3 linked regions of the Mus musculus genome follow. The protein of the gene in region 3 purifies or fractionates together with the protein of the main gene of each other region. This does not show direct contact. Links are inferred from orthologs where the notes say so. Each region holds a gene or a part of one and is shown on either strand. Other genes may lie near its edges.

What was found.
Region 1: the proteins of Prkaca (region 3) and Cdk5rap2 purify together in Homo sapiens (affinity purification with mass spectrometry; 6 studies listed by BioGRID and IntAct, with this or other methods). This does not show direct contact. The link is inferred for Mus musculus from reciprocal best matches to the Homo sapiens genes PRKACA and CDK5RAP2.
Region 2: the proteins of Prkaca (region 3) and Vapa purify together in Homo sapiens (affinity purification with mass spectrometry; 4 studies listed by BioGRID and IntAct, with this or other methods). This does not show direct contact. The link is inferred for Mus musculus from reciprocal best matches to the Homo sapiens genes PRKACA and VAPA.

The regions. Positions count from the first base shown.
Region 1 is NC_000070.6:70,263,925-70,267,571, forward strand, and holds part of Cdk5rap2 (CDK5 regulatory subunit-associated protein 2), read right to left. Parts: intron 3,125-3,647; coding exon 2,551-3,124; intron 800-2,550; coding exon 567-799; intron 1-566. UniProt on the Homo sapiens protein: Potential regulator of CDK5 activity via its interaction with CDK5R1. Negative regulator of centriole disengagement (licensing) which maintains centriole engagement and cohesion. Involved in regulation of mitotic spindle orientation.
Region 2 is NC_000083.6:65,611,237-65,614,983, forward strand, and holds the start of Vapa (vesicle-associated membrane protein-associated protein A), read right to left. Parts: upstream 2,320-3,747; 5' UTR 2,063-2,319; coding exon 1,984-2,062; intron 1-1,983. UniProt on the Homo sapiens protein: Endoplasmic reticulum (ER)-anchored protein that mediates the formation of contact sites between the ER and endosomes via interaction with FFAT motif-containing proteins such as STARD3 or WDR44.
Region 3 is NC_000074.6:83,972,070-83,975,802, reverse strand, and holds the start of Prkaca (cAMP-dependent protein kinase catalytic subunit alpha), read right to left. Parts: upstream 2,826-3,733; 5' UTR 2,617-2,825; coding exon 2,571-2,616; intron 1-2,570.

The sequences.
Region 1 (3,647 bases), on a different chromosome or scaffold from region 3:
CTTGGTCATGGTGTCTCTTTAAAGCAACACAACAGTGACTATGACACTGAGTTATTGTCCAATTCCAAGAGCACTGTGATGCTCCAACCAAGTAATGTCTACAATATCAAGAATACAAACAGATCTAGCGGGAACAGACTTATGCGAAGAGATGAGTTGTAAAACCCCAGCATGGCCATGCATTCTCAACACAACCACAGAGAAGGTACTTCCTCTGGTGGACCACTCTACATACCATAAAACTGGACTCACTCACTCACTAACTCACTAGCTTCCTGACTATGAAAACCAAGAAAAATGGAGGAGCGGGGACAGTGATGTCGGTGAGTGACAGGACTGTTGCTGTCTTATGACAGAGATTGTCCAGGAGCACTTACCTAATAGGAGGGCTGAGAAAAACAAGGGGGAACAAGAGAAGCAAAGCGCAGGACTGTGAAGTAGAAGGCTGTTTCGGCTTAATGGCAGAACAGCCAGGTTTGTGTGTACAGCAAAGCCAACGAATCAAACCTGCTGGTGCCCACACCGAAGGAGCCGGAGAGTCACAGTGAGGGCCTCTACCTACGTACCATGGAGAAACAGCCTCTCCAGTTGCTCTAGCAGTCCAGCACACTGTGTCAGCTGCTCCCGGAAGCCCTCGGCCACGCAACTGTCCACATCACTGGCCTGCAGAAGCTCCTCAAACGCCTTGATCATGGTGCTCATGTGTTGACGGTAAATGACACAGATGCCATGGCTATCCTTAATTTGCTGTCGCTGAAGGGAGAGCTCCCTCGCTTGGGACTGAACCAATGAATCGTATCTGATAAAAGAGGGAAGGAAAATGTGTGTGTCATTTTCGAATTGAATTTTTGTGACCTCAACACTAATTGGAAAAATGACAGAGCATAATTTCTGAAAGCCCGTAGCTGTACAAGCATATATACTTTAGAAAAATTGAAACTGTACAAGGTCACCCCTTCTTTGAGTTCAAACAGCCAACAAATGCTTGAACAGAGATTCTTCTGCAATATTTGTAACCTTAGAGAGCCCCCAATTAAAGCATAGATTGGCAAGGACTCAGGAGCACAATTAGTTTCCATACACTCTTCAAAGACACTATTCTGAATTGTAGAAACAAATGCCCCAAGGTCAGGGACCCACTGAAAATTCTCACCAAGTACAAGTATGTATACGGCAAGGGTAAAAAGAAAGGACTCCCTGCTTCCAACGGAAAGAGTCAGTTGGACGCCAGGCCACCACCTTACTGAGTGACTAGGTCCCATCAGTCATGGGATCAAGTTATCGTAGGTCACCTGGTTCTCCCAGGCTTCTAACAAATGGATTCTTGCAGAGAAGGAAAGCTTTCTCAAAGGTATTTAGAGCTAAAGCTTTGCTTTTCAAACCCACAGAATGTGAAGAGTTATCATGCAATACCACCCCCTCACCACCAGGTGCCACCCTTCTCTACGCAGGCCCAGGAGTCGGTAAGAGCAAGCCTGCAGCTTCCTCAGACGAGGAAAAACAGTCACAGCAAGCTGTTCACCATGACCACTGTTAATACCAATACACTACAGGCAAATCACAGCAGCGCCATCTCAAGGGTGGGGTAGTTCCGGGGAACACTAAGAGTGGGCAGTATAGGCTGGAACCCTGGCAGGGGCTCTGACCACGGGCAAGTCACAGAAATCTCTAGGAGTCTCAGTTGCTCTGCTAACTAAAACAAGTTGAGAATGCCTCCTGCTCAGTGTGTCTGGAACTAAATAGTTGAGTTCTTTCCCAGTGGAATGGTACACACTTGCCATCCAGCACTCAGGAGGCAGAGGCAGGAAGAATATGAGTTTAAGAGCAGCTTCAACTATGTGGTGAAACTCCCATCTCAAAACAAAATCAAACAAACACGTCCGAGCCTGAAGGCTGATAAGTTTCCCTCAGTCTTGCTGCTTGGGTAGCCTTGAAAAATAAAATATCACTCTATCTCTTGACAATCCAGAACAGCGCTTTTCTCAAATTAGTAACGAATGAAGGTCAAATTTACAGACTATCCCGTTTTTTTGCCATATCTCACGAAGCCAGTGTACATATTTATAACTATAAAGCATTATCTTCATGACCCAAGAATTTCTTGCTTTCTACACAGGCTTATTTCTCTAAGATGACCTTAAAGGGTAAAGATATGAAAAACATTTATATTCCTCCCAACCTGCTTAGGACATCCATTTTATTTCCACAACAAGGCAAAAGCCAATAACAGAGTTCAGAAATAAACACAGCAGGCAGCTCAGTAAACACACTGCAATCCACCGTCTGATGGCTGTGGAGTTTCTACACTGAGTCCTCAGCCTGAGGAGGGCAACTCCTGCCCTGCCAGTCTCAGAAGTTGCCCAGCTCCTAACATACGCATGCATAGAGTGAAGCTGTGTGGCTGCCTGAAGCCCAAGTGAAGCCTTCCCTAGGGTATACTCTACCCACCCAGGGAGTAGCATTCGCTCAAGAGCTGCTGGGCTCCTACATAGCAACGACCTGGGAAACCTGCAAGCCTAATGAGGAGGATGAAGCAGGAATAGGATGTACCTTGATGGCGAGAGGTCTTGGAACTTGTTCTGCAGGTCATGGATTTCACCGAAAAGTTCCAAGTTCAAGTCCTGCTCCTTCTGTAGCTCCTGCTCCTGGTCCACCAGCTGCTGCTTGAGGCTCTCTAGCATCTTGCCATCAATCATCTCCGGGGTTAGTGGACGGAGGATTTTCATATGCTTCACATATCGTACTTGGTGCAAACTTGAAAATGTCATCTCTTCCTCATCAATATGGCCCTTAGGCTTGTTCAAGCCATCTTGGGCCCCTTCTGTCCCACACAAAACTGTGATAATAGCCTCACTGCACTGAGAGTGCTTCAGTAGCTGGACAATGATGTTCCGGTAGCCTTCCAGCTCGGTTTGCAAGTCGTGGATTTTCTGTTTTAAGTCTTCTGTGTCATCAGGGATATTGATATTCTCAGACTGGTCAGTTCCATTCACGCTGACTTTAACAGAGAGCTGACTCTTGGAATCCAGGTAAGTGGCTATGGAGGATGGGCCTAGGAGGTCTTCAAGATTCTCTTTGCATGCTGGTAATAAGGCAAGGTCATCAGGTGGACAGATTTCAGAATCTGAAAATCAAATACTAATCTTTGTCAGTGTCTCCTTTTGCTGCAATCAACTTCTTACCTCTACAGCTTCCCACAGTTGAATTCTGGATCTTAAATGTCCCCAAAGCCCATGTATTAAAGGCTTGGTTTATAACACCACTGGAAGGTTGTGCTGTGTTTAGGAGGTGGAGCCTTGTAGAAAAAAAGCATCACTAAAGAGGACTTTTAAGACCCTATCCCCCAAACCCTGGTTTCTAAATGGTTCCTAAACATTATGAGGGTGAACAGGTATACTTTATCAAATGTCCCCACCATGATATTATTCCCTCACCAAAGGCTCAGAGTGACAAGTCCAGGAAGTCATGGACTGCACCCATGAGTCAATATTCTCTGTTATTTCAAGTTGATTGTCTCAGAAATTTCGTCATGCTCTAGAAAGCTGACTAGCATACTATTTTACCATTCAATCCACCCTCTTTGTCATGTTGGAAGCAACCTAGCCCCACACACCATCCATGGCATGTCCCCACAAAGTCATCAGACC
Region 2 (3,747 bases), on a different chromosome or scaffold from region 3:
TTAAGTCTATTCACCTCAATGTATCTTCTCACCTCAGGATTTACCCAACCACTCCCATTTGCATAACTTTCCCTAGGCAACTTGAAAGGAGCCTTTTTCCCTTAAAAGCTTCCACAGACATGCTACTCCCTCAAAGTACCACTTACCTGCCCTTTTCAGTAGTATTGGGATCATTTTTTTGGTAACACATAGTCTGTTGTATAAACACAGTTATTATTTAACATCAAAAATAAGTGGTCTATATGGATACTGCACAATGTAGTATTTCCAATCGTTTTTAAAACCTGTCTCATAAAAGACTTTTCACACATGTCTATGTGGTACAGATAATTTTCTCTTACAGTCAAAAGAGAAAAAGCAAACCACACAAAATATCGTAAAAATGTTCATTAAATCGCTTCTATTACCTATGGCTACTACAGTACTATAAGAACTTCTCAGCAAACCCCGCCCACTCCCTCCCCCCCTCCCCCCCCCAAAAAAAACCAATCAGGCAATACAGAAATTTGCTGCAGGAAAATACACACTACCCGAGGTTCTGAGACACTGTCTAGTGTCTCCCTTGTAGCCCGGGTTGATTTCAAACTTTGGATGGTTTCTGGACTTCCAGAATGCCGGGATTATAAGTGTGGTTCACGACCCAATTCCAAAGATATTAGAGCTGCCTTAAAATCACAATCAAGTTCTTGTCTAGTAAAGAGAAACTTGTGAATGTACTGAAACACCTGCAGGGCATGTGACTAGCAGAATACCCAATGTTTATAAGCCCTAAAACTATTTAAGATATAAAATCTTTAAGTGTCTGGAACTATTTTAAATTGTTCCCACAAGGACAATTCAGCTATTTTCATTTGGACTAACTCTTACACTACTATTAATGGGTTTACTTTTTCTCTTAGTACTGGAATCGATGTGCGCCTAAGGAAAATTGTTTTCATCAGTTCCTGAAATTAAAACGCAAGGTATTAACTTTCGGGGGGGGGGGAGGGGGGCACTTTACATTTAAAGATAGGAAGGATCACGTTTTCTCTTTAGCTCCATTCTTTTGGTTCTCCTTAAAATAAAGTAAATTGTTCTGTGTAACGTTTCGTTTCCTACACACTGAGAAGGCAAACCGCCTTGGATCTGAACAAGAATCACCAAGCCACTGTCTATCACAGTCAATGCTCCAAAGTCAACAGTTCCAGAGCTGTGTGGCACCTTAGCAGCTTTCTCGGGATACGCAGGGAAACCGCAAGCGTAAGCGGGTCACAAACGCTGAAAGAATTCTTCAGTAAAGACAGTGTGCACTCAAGGACTGGGTCCTCCGTACCTAGGGACAATCCGAGCTGACACAAGGGACCCACTACCATTAACCTCTGACCATGCATGCCCCAGCTGACGCACAGCTTTCTGCCGCGCGCCTGGGGGCCGTGCCAACACGCGGGGTCAGTCCCAGCCAGAGACTCTGCTGCCTGGTCTCCCGGCTCAGCCAGAGTCCCGCACCTGACCGGGAAAGACTCCGGGCGAGGCCGCGACCGTGAACGCCTCCTCGCCCGCGGCGGACCGCGCCTGCCCAAAGCCGCCGAACGGCGCCCACTGGCGCCCGCCGACTAGGGAGCTCCGGCTCCCAGTCGCCCTCCCGCACCGCCCGACCGCACCGCGCCGCGCCGCGGCCGCCCCTGGGGCAAGGACGCCATGCGGGCCGGCGGGCAAGGCGCGGGCGGGCTCCCACGGCGCCCCCGCGGGGCCGCAAGATGGCGGCGGAGCCCTCCGCGGCGCCCGGCGGCTCCCTCCCCTCCCCTCCGCAGCGCAGCCCAGCCCGGCCCGGCCCGGCCCGGCAGCGGCGGACGGCGAGGCGCGGGGCCGAGGGACGCAGCGGGGCCGCGGCTCCGACGCTCGGCCGGGGCGTGGGGGAGGGGAGCACGGCCCGGCCACCCCGCCGCCGCCCGCCAGCCCCAGCCCCAGCCTCAGCTCCGCTCCGGAGCGTCCCAGCCAGCCTACCTTTGAATTTGAGGTCTGAAGGAGGGTCGAGGACCAGGATCTGCTCGTGCTTCGCCATGGCCCCGGAGGCGGACGCCATAGGAGACAGCGCAGCGCAGAGCGGGGGCGCGCCCGCGGCGGCGGTTCGCTGGCGGGGGCGAGGGGACGGTGGCGGCGCCGGCTCCGCGGAGCTCTAGGACGGGGCCAGGCTCACGATTCCCGAAGCTCCGCGCCTGCTGCCGGGCCGCGGGGGTCCCGAGGGCAGCCTGTCCGCTCAGCAGCTCCGGGTGTCACAACTGACTCAACCCCACACCAGCCGCCGCGGCCACGCGCACTGCGATCCTCGGCGCCCCACGTGACGGGCCCTACGTGCCTACGTGCGCGCCCCCGCGGCCTGGAGCCCTCGTGCTGGCCCCGCCCTCCGGGCCTAACTGGGGGGTGGGAGGGGTCAACGCTGAGCTAGTGCGCCTGCGCACCTCCGACTTGGCCGCAGCTCCGGGCGCCGCGCCGCTGTCAATCTCCGTAGAGCAGGGTCGGGGGGGCGGAGCGGGGCTCTTTGCGGGGAGACGCGGTGCACGGCGCCCCGGGAAGGGGGTGTCGTTCTTGGGGCCCTGGAGCTGCGAGTGCGGGGCTGGAGCGCCGACTACGACGCTACCTCACGGCGTTCCAAGTGGAATTCCGAACGGAAGAGAGTCATGAAGCGCCGGGTACCTCGACTCCCAGCATGCCCTGTGCGGGCGGCGCCTCCGCGGTGGCTGCTGGGAACCGGGAAGGCGACCTGGGTCCGTTGGAGGCGAGTGGGTGGGGCCGCTGACGCGGCTTTTGGCTCGCCGAGGGCGTCTTGTCTGCCCTGGAAAAGAGAAGGGTTTTTGCAGGCTGCCTGGAAGCCAGGCATCCCAGGAGAGACCGCCCTTTGGGAGAGCGGCAGGGCGTGTCCCTCTGGTCTGCTGGGGATTCCTTCCGCCCTCAGCGAACGTGCGCTCCGTTCTGCCTGCTGTTCCAAGACTGCCTCCTCCCCATCTCCCTCCTGCCCAGCCAAAGGAAACACATCTCGCTCACAAGCGAACGAGTTCCAGGGGAAATCTGTGCCAGGCACAGTTTCTCTACAAGGGTAGAAACGAAATCTCTGTTCCTACAGCGTGGAGTTCACGTGCTGTATCTACAGTGTGGTTCACTTCAAACTCATACCCAAATCTGTTTGCCACATTCTCGTGCTAGGGACGAATTTTATCTGTATCACTTAGGAGAGCCTGTACCAAATGAGAAAAAAAAAAAAAAATGCCAAGCAAGTTGCTGACAGATATTCAGCCCCTTGCCAGGGTATCCAGGGACGGGAAGAGCAAACAAAACAAATGGATGTGCTGTAAAAACCTTTATTGTGTCCTATGGTGCTGCTTGAATTTAAATCTCTAGGAAGCTCCGTGCGAAACAAAGCACATATTCATGCTTCTGCCACGAAAAGGCACTCTAGATTGCTTGGAAGTAAATGTCGAAATGAGCAGTCTAGAATACAGCTAATTAGACTTTTTCAACTTGCCGCCCCGACACCTGAAAAACTTTCATGCCACTCGAGGTATATAGGATATAATAGTGGTATAAAGCAAACATTGGTCGTTTAAAAAAAAAAGTTTGTTTTCTTTCTTTGAATGCTTACTTTGTATCCTAACCTAAAAAATGAATTTTGAAAAGAAGCAGACCAAAAATCCATTTAAGACAAAAGCAAGCTTGTATGCAAACGAGATGGATTTCCTTGTTCATCTCTACGTAAAAATTATTTATTCTTGG
Region 3 (3,733 bases):
ACTGCTTTTAAAGGCTGTCTCTTTTGTGGCCCAGGTCTGCCTCAAACTCAGGTCCTTCTGCGTCACAGGCCCTTCCTTCCTTGCTAGGTTTGAGGCACTGTCCCTCTTTTTTTTTTTTTTTCTTTAAATGTTTCTATATATTTACTGTGTGTGTACACACACTCTCGTGGAGGTCAGAGGACAACTCTGAGGAGTCAGCTCTCTCCCTCCATCACGTAGGTCCCAGGAAGACAATTCAGACTAACAAGCTTCATAGCAAACATCTTTACCTAAGGGCCATCCTGTAGACTTTTGTATTTTGATACAAGGTTTTGCTGTTACCCAAGCTAGCCTTTAATTTTTGGGCTTAAGCAATCCTTTTGCCTCAGCCTCTTGGGTTGCTGGTAGTGTCAATATACACTATTATGGGGTTTGTTTTATCATTTTAAGAAAATATGACTGGGGTTTAACTCCTGCTGATGTGTTGAAGGCTGGACATGGTGGTGAAAGCCGTTAATTCTAGCATTTGGGAAGCTGAGGCAGGCAGATCTCTGAGAGTTTGAGGCCAGCCTGGTCTAAATTTCAAGTTTCAGGCCAAGAGGAGCTATATAGTGAGATCCTGTCTTTAAAAATCAAAGCAAACCAAAGAATGTCTGAGTTGAGATATGACGGGGTCTAGGAGATGGGCTGGTCAGCAGATCTGGATGTGAACTCTGCCTGTGTGTTGTCATCTGTGTCAAACTCAGATGGCTCATCTGGACAGACATTATCAAAGTAAGTATGTCTATGGAGACCGTTTAACCAAGCCCTCCTGGATGCACGGAGTTCATCCGTCCAACTGACTCTCAAACTCTGATCTTTTCCTTGGGCTCTCCCCTCCTCTGTGGCTCTGTGCCTGTTGTGTGTGTCTGATATGCTTAAAGCTTTCCTAGCACTGTGCTCAGCTTTCAGAGGGGCCACTGCAGTATTCAGTCCACTGCACGTACCATCTACCTCCTGGTGGGCCTCACCTGCCAAGGGGGCTGGCCCTTCTCCTTCTGCCCGGAGCCCTCCAAGCTCAAGCCCAAGACCTTTTTGGGCACTACCCACCTGCTCCTCTGTCATCAAGCCCTCAACTACAAGCACTTGCCTCTGTCCCCCGCCCATCTGTGAAATGCCAGGCCTCTTAAGGCTGCTAGGCTGGGCTGAGCTCTGCTGGTTGAAGGGGGGGGGGAGGGGCAGAAAGTTCTTGGGCTTCTTGAGTGGCATTCGGGGGACTCAGACACTGAGAAGGGCACAGCTGATCAGAGCCTCCTTTTTGGGTAACTGGAAGCTGTTCTCAGCTGCAGTACAGCTTTAGCTTGGAGTGACACCACTTTGAGACATGAAGCACTGGGGGACAGGGCCCAAGGCCCTTTCTGAAGTAATTTCAAATATAGAATCACTTTTTTTTCCCTGGCTAGAAAAATTCAGCATGGTTTTTTTTTTGGGGGGGGGGTGTGTGTATGTGTGTGTGGATATACCTCCCTCTGGGTGAGCCCTCGGTATGCACAGAATCCATCTGTCTTAAGCAAACCAAATCATTAGCTGTCACCTATTGCTGGATGGCGTTACCCCAATGCGCGCAATTCTTCTGACCATCCCCATTCAGTGGAATGAGCCTTTGCTATTCATTTCATCCGCAGTTTCAAACCAGCCCCAGGGGCTGGGTGAACGACAGAACCGCAGTTGTGAAACGACCATTTATTGAGGGGCCTTCTAAGGAACCCAGACCTCAGGGTAGGCCAGGAGGGTGCTCTGCCGCTTTACCTCACCCGCAACCCAAGAAAAAGGACAGACGTAATGGCTCTGAGCAAGACCAGCTCCAACTTGGATAAGGAAGCGCAGAAGCAGCTCTCTAGGTTCATAAACAGTCTGCCACCCCAGCCAGGGCCAGACGAATGCACGGAGGAGGTGGAGTGACAGGATGAGAGGGGCAGAGGGACCCAGAAAGATCTTGTCCCCCATGCCAAGTGACACAGAAGGGAAAAACAATGCAGGAGGTGGCCCCGGGAAATGCTCATGGGGGTGGGGGTGGCTTGGAGGTGGGAGCTGTGATGAGGTGAATCGGGCAGGGGTAGGAGAAAGATGGCGGGGGCTGGAGGGGGAGGGGTGTGGTCACCAAGTGGCCAAGGTCCCTGCAGCGTGGACCCCACAGCACTCCCGAAACTGGCAGGAGCCTGGATCAGGGTCAGGCATTGGGGCGCTGTGTGGGAAAGGTAAGTGACGAAGTGGGAGGGGGTATAGAATCTGGAGAAAGGGACTAGGAGAAGAGGGGTTGGTGTGGTGACAGGGCCTCATCTGGGGCCCCGGCGGTCATACATGCAATGGTTGGCAGTGACAGCTGGGTGGGGGGGCACGGCCTTTGCAGTGGGGGATGGTAGGCCATGGGCACCAGGCCCTACTGGGGGCAAAGTATCTCTGCGGTGATCCGACCCCAACGTGAACAGGCAGCAGGCAGGGGTGCAGGCAGACAAGATTGGGGGGGCATATGGGGGAGGGGCCATGCAGTGATGGGCATTGCGCGGGCAGGCCGCACGCAGTGAAGATCAGGGTGACGGCCGGGCACTCACCGCTCTCCTGCTCGCTGCCCTTCTTGGCGGCGGCGGCGTTGCCCATCGCGGCGGCGTCGCGGCCGGGGCCAGTCCCGGAGCTGCGACGCGGCGGGTGCTAAGGTGGCCGGCGGCCCCGGAGCGCGCTGGGCAGCGGAGGCGGCGGCCCCTGGGGCTGGCTGCGCTGGCTGCGGCGCCACGACCCCCGCCCAGCCCCTGCTTCCCGCGTCTCTCTGCGCCCGCCCGCGGGGGAGCCTCAGCCCAAGTCCTCTGTCCGTGACGCCCCCGCAGCCCACCGCCCATTGGTTCAGGCCTCCCTGACTGACAGCCCTACGCCGCTGTCCATTGGCCCTCCGGAACCCTCCCGCGCCACCATAGGCTCCTGGATGAGTGACGCGAGTTGCAGACTCTCCGCCACTCACGGGCTCGTGAGGCCGCAGTCGGGCGGGCGAACGCACGTGATTGGCCGAGAAGCCCGAGAGGGCTTGGGGCTGCCCCTGCGAAGCCGTCGATTGGCGGAGACAGGCGGCCCCGGCTAGTGTCAGTCCCGGGGTGAGAGGGCGGGGCAGCGGCTCAGGCTGCGGCCCGGGCAGCGGGCGGGGCGGAGGCTGCGGCGGCTGGAGGGTGGCTGGGTGGCAGGCGCTGCGAGGTGCGGGAGGCGGCCCGGCGGACGCCCGTGCGGCAATGTGCGCGCTGCAGTCTCCCGCCCCTGCCCAGTGCGGCAGCGGCCACGGGCCAGAGGTTGACGCCACGGCGGGCCGGCGCAGCGGCTGTCCACCTGCCAGGGGGGGAGGGGCGGGCTGGCGCCGAGGGTCAAGGGTCGCCGGGCGCCGTTCGGTGTCATTCATAAGGAGGCCCGACACTGGGCAGCCGTGACCCAACTAGCTCGGGGTCCGCTTTGGTTTGCTCGCGACACAACTGGAGCTGCAAGGGGATGTTGGACCCAGAACTGAGGGCGTGCTGGGAGGAGACTCAGAGTATCTACACTCTTTGCTAAGGCTCAACCCTAGGCCCCTGAAAAGTAGTAACTACGGACGCCAGCCAAGTGCATTACTTCTTGTACCTTGCACGTTGGGCCTGCCATACTCCCATTTTATGGAGGCTCGGTCAGGCTAGTTCCTTGCTCTTAACTAATCTCCATTGCCTAGACATGACCAACATAACCTGCCCCTTTTGGGCAGGAA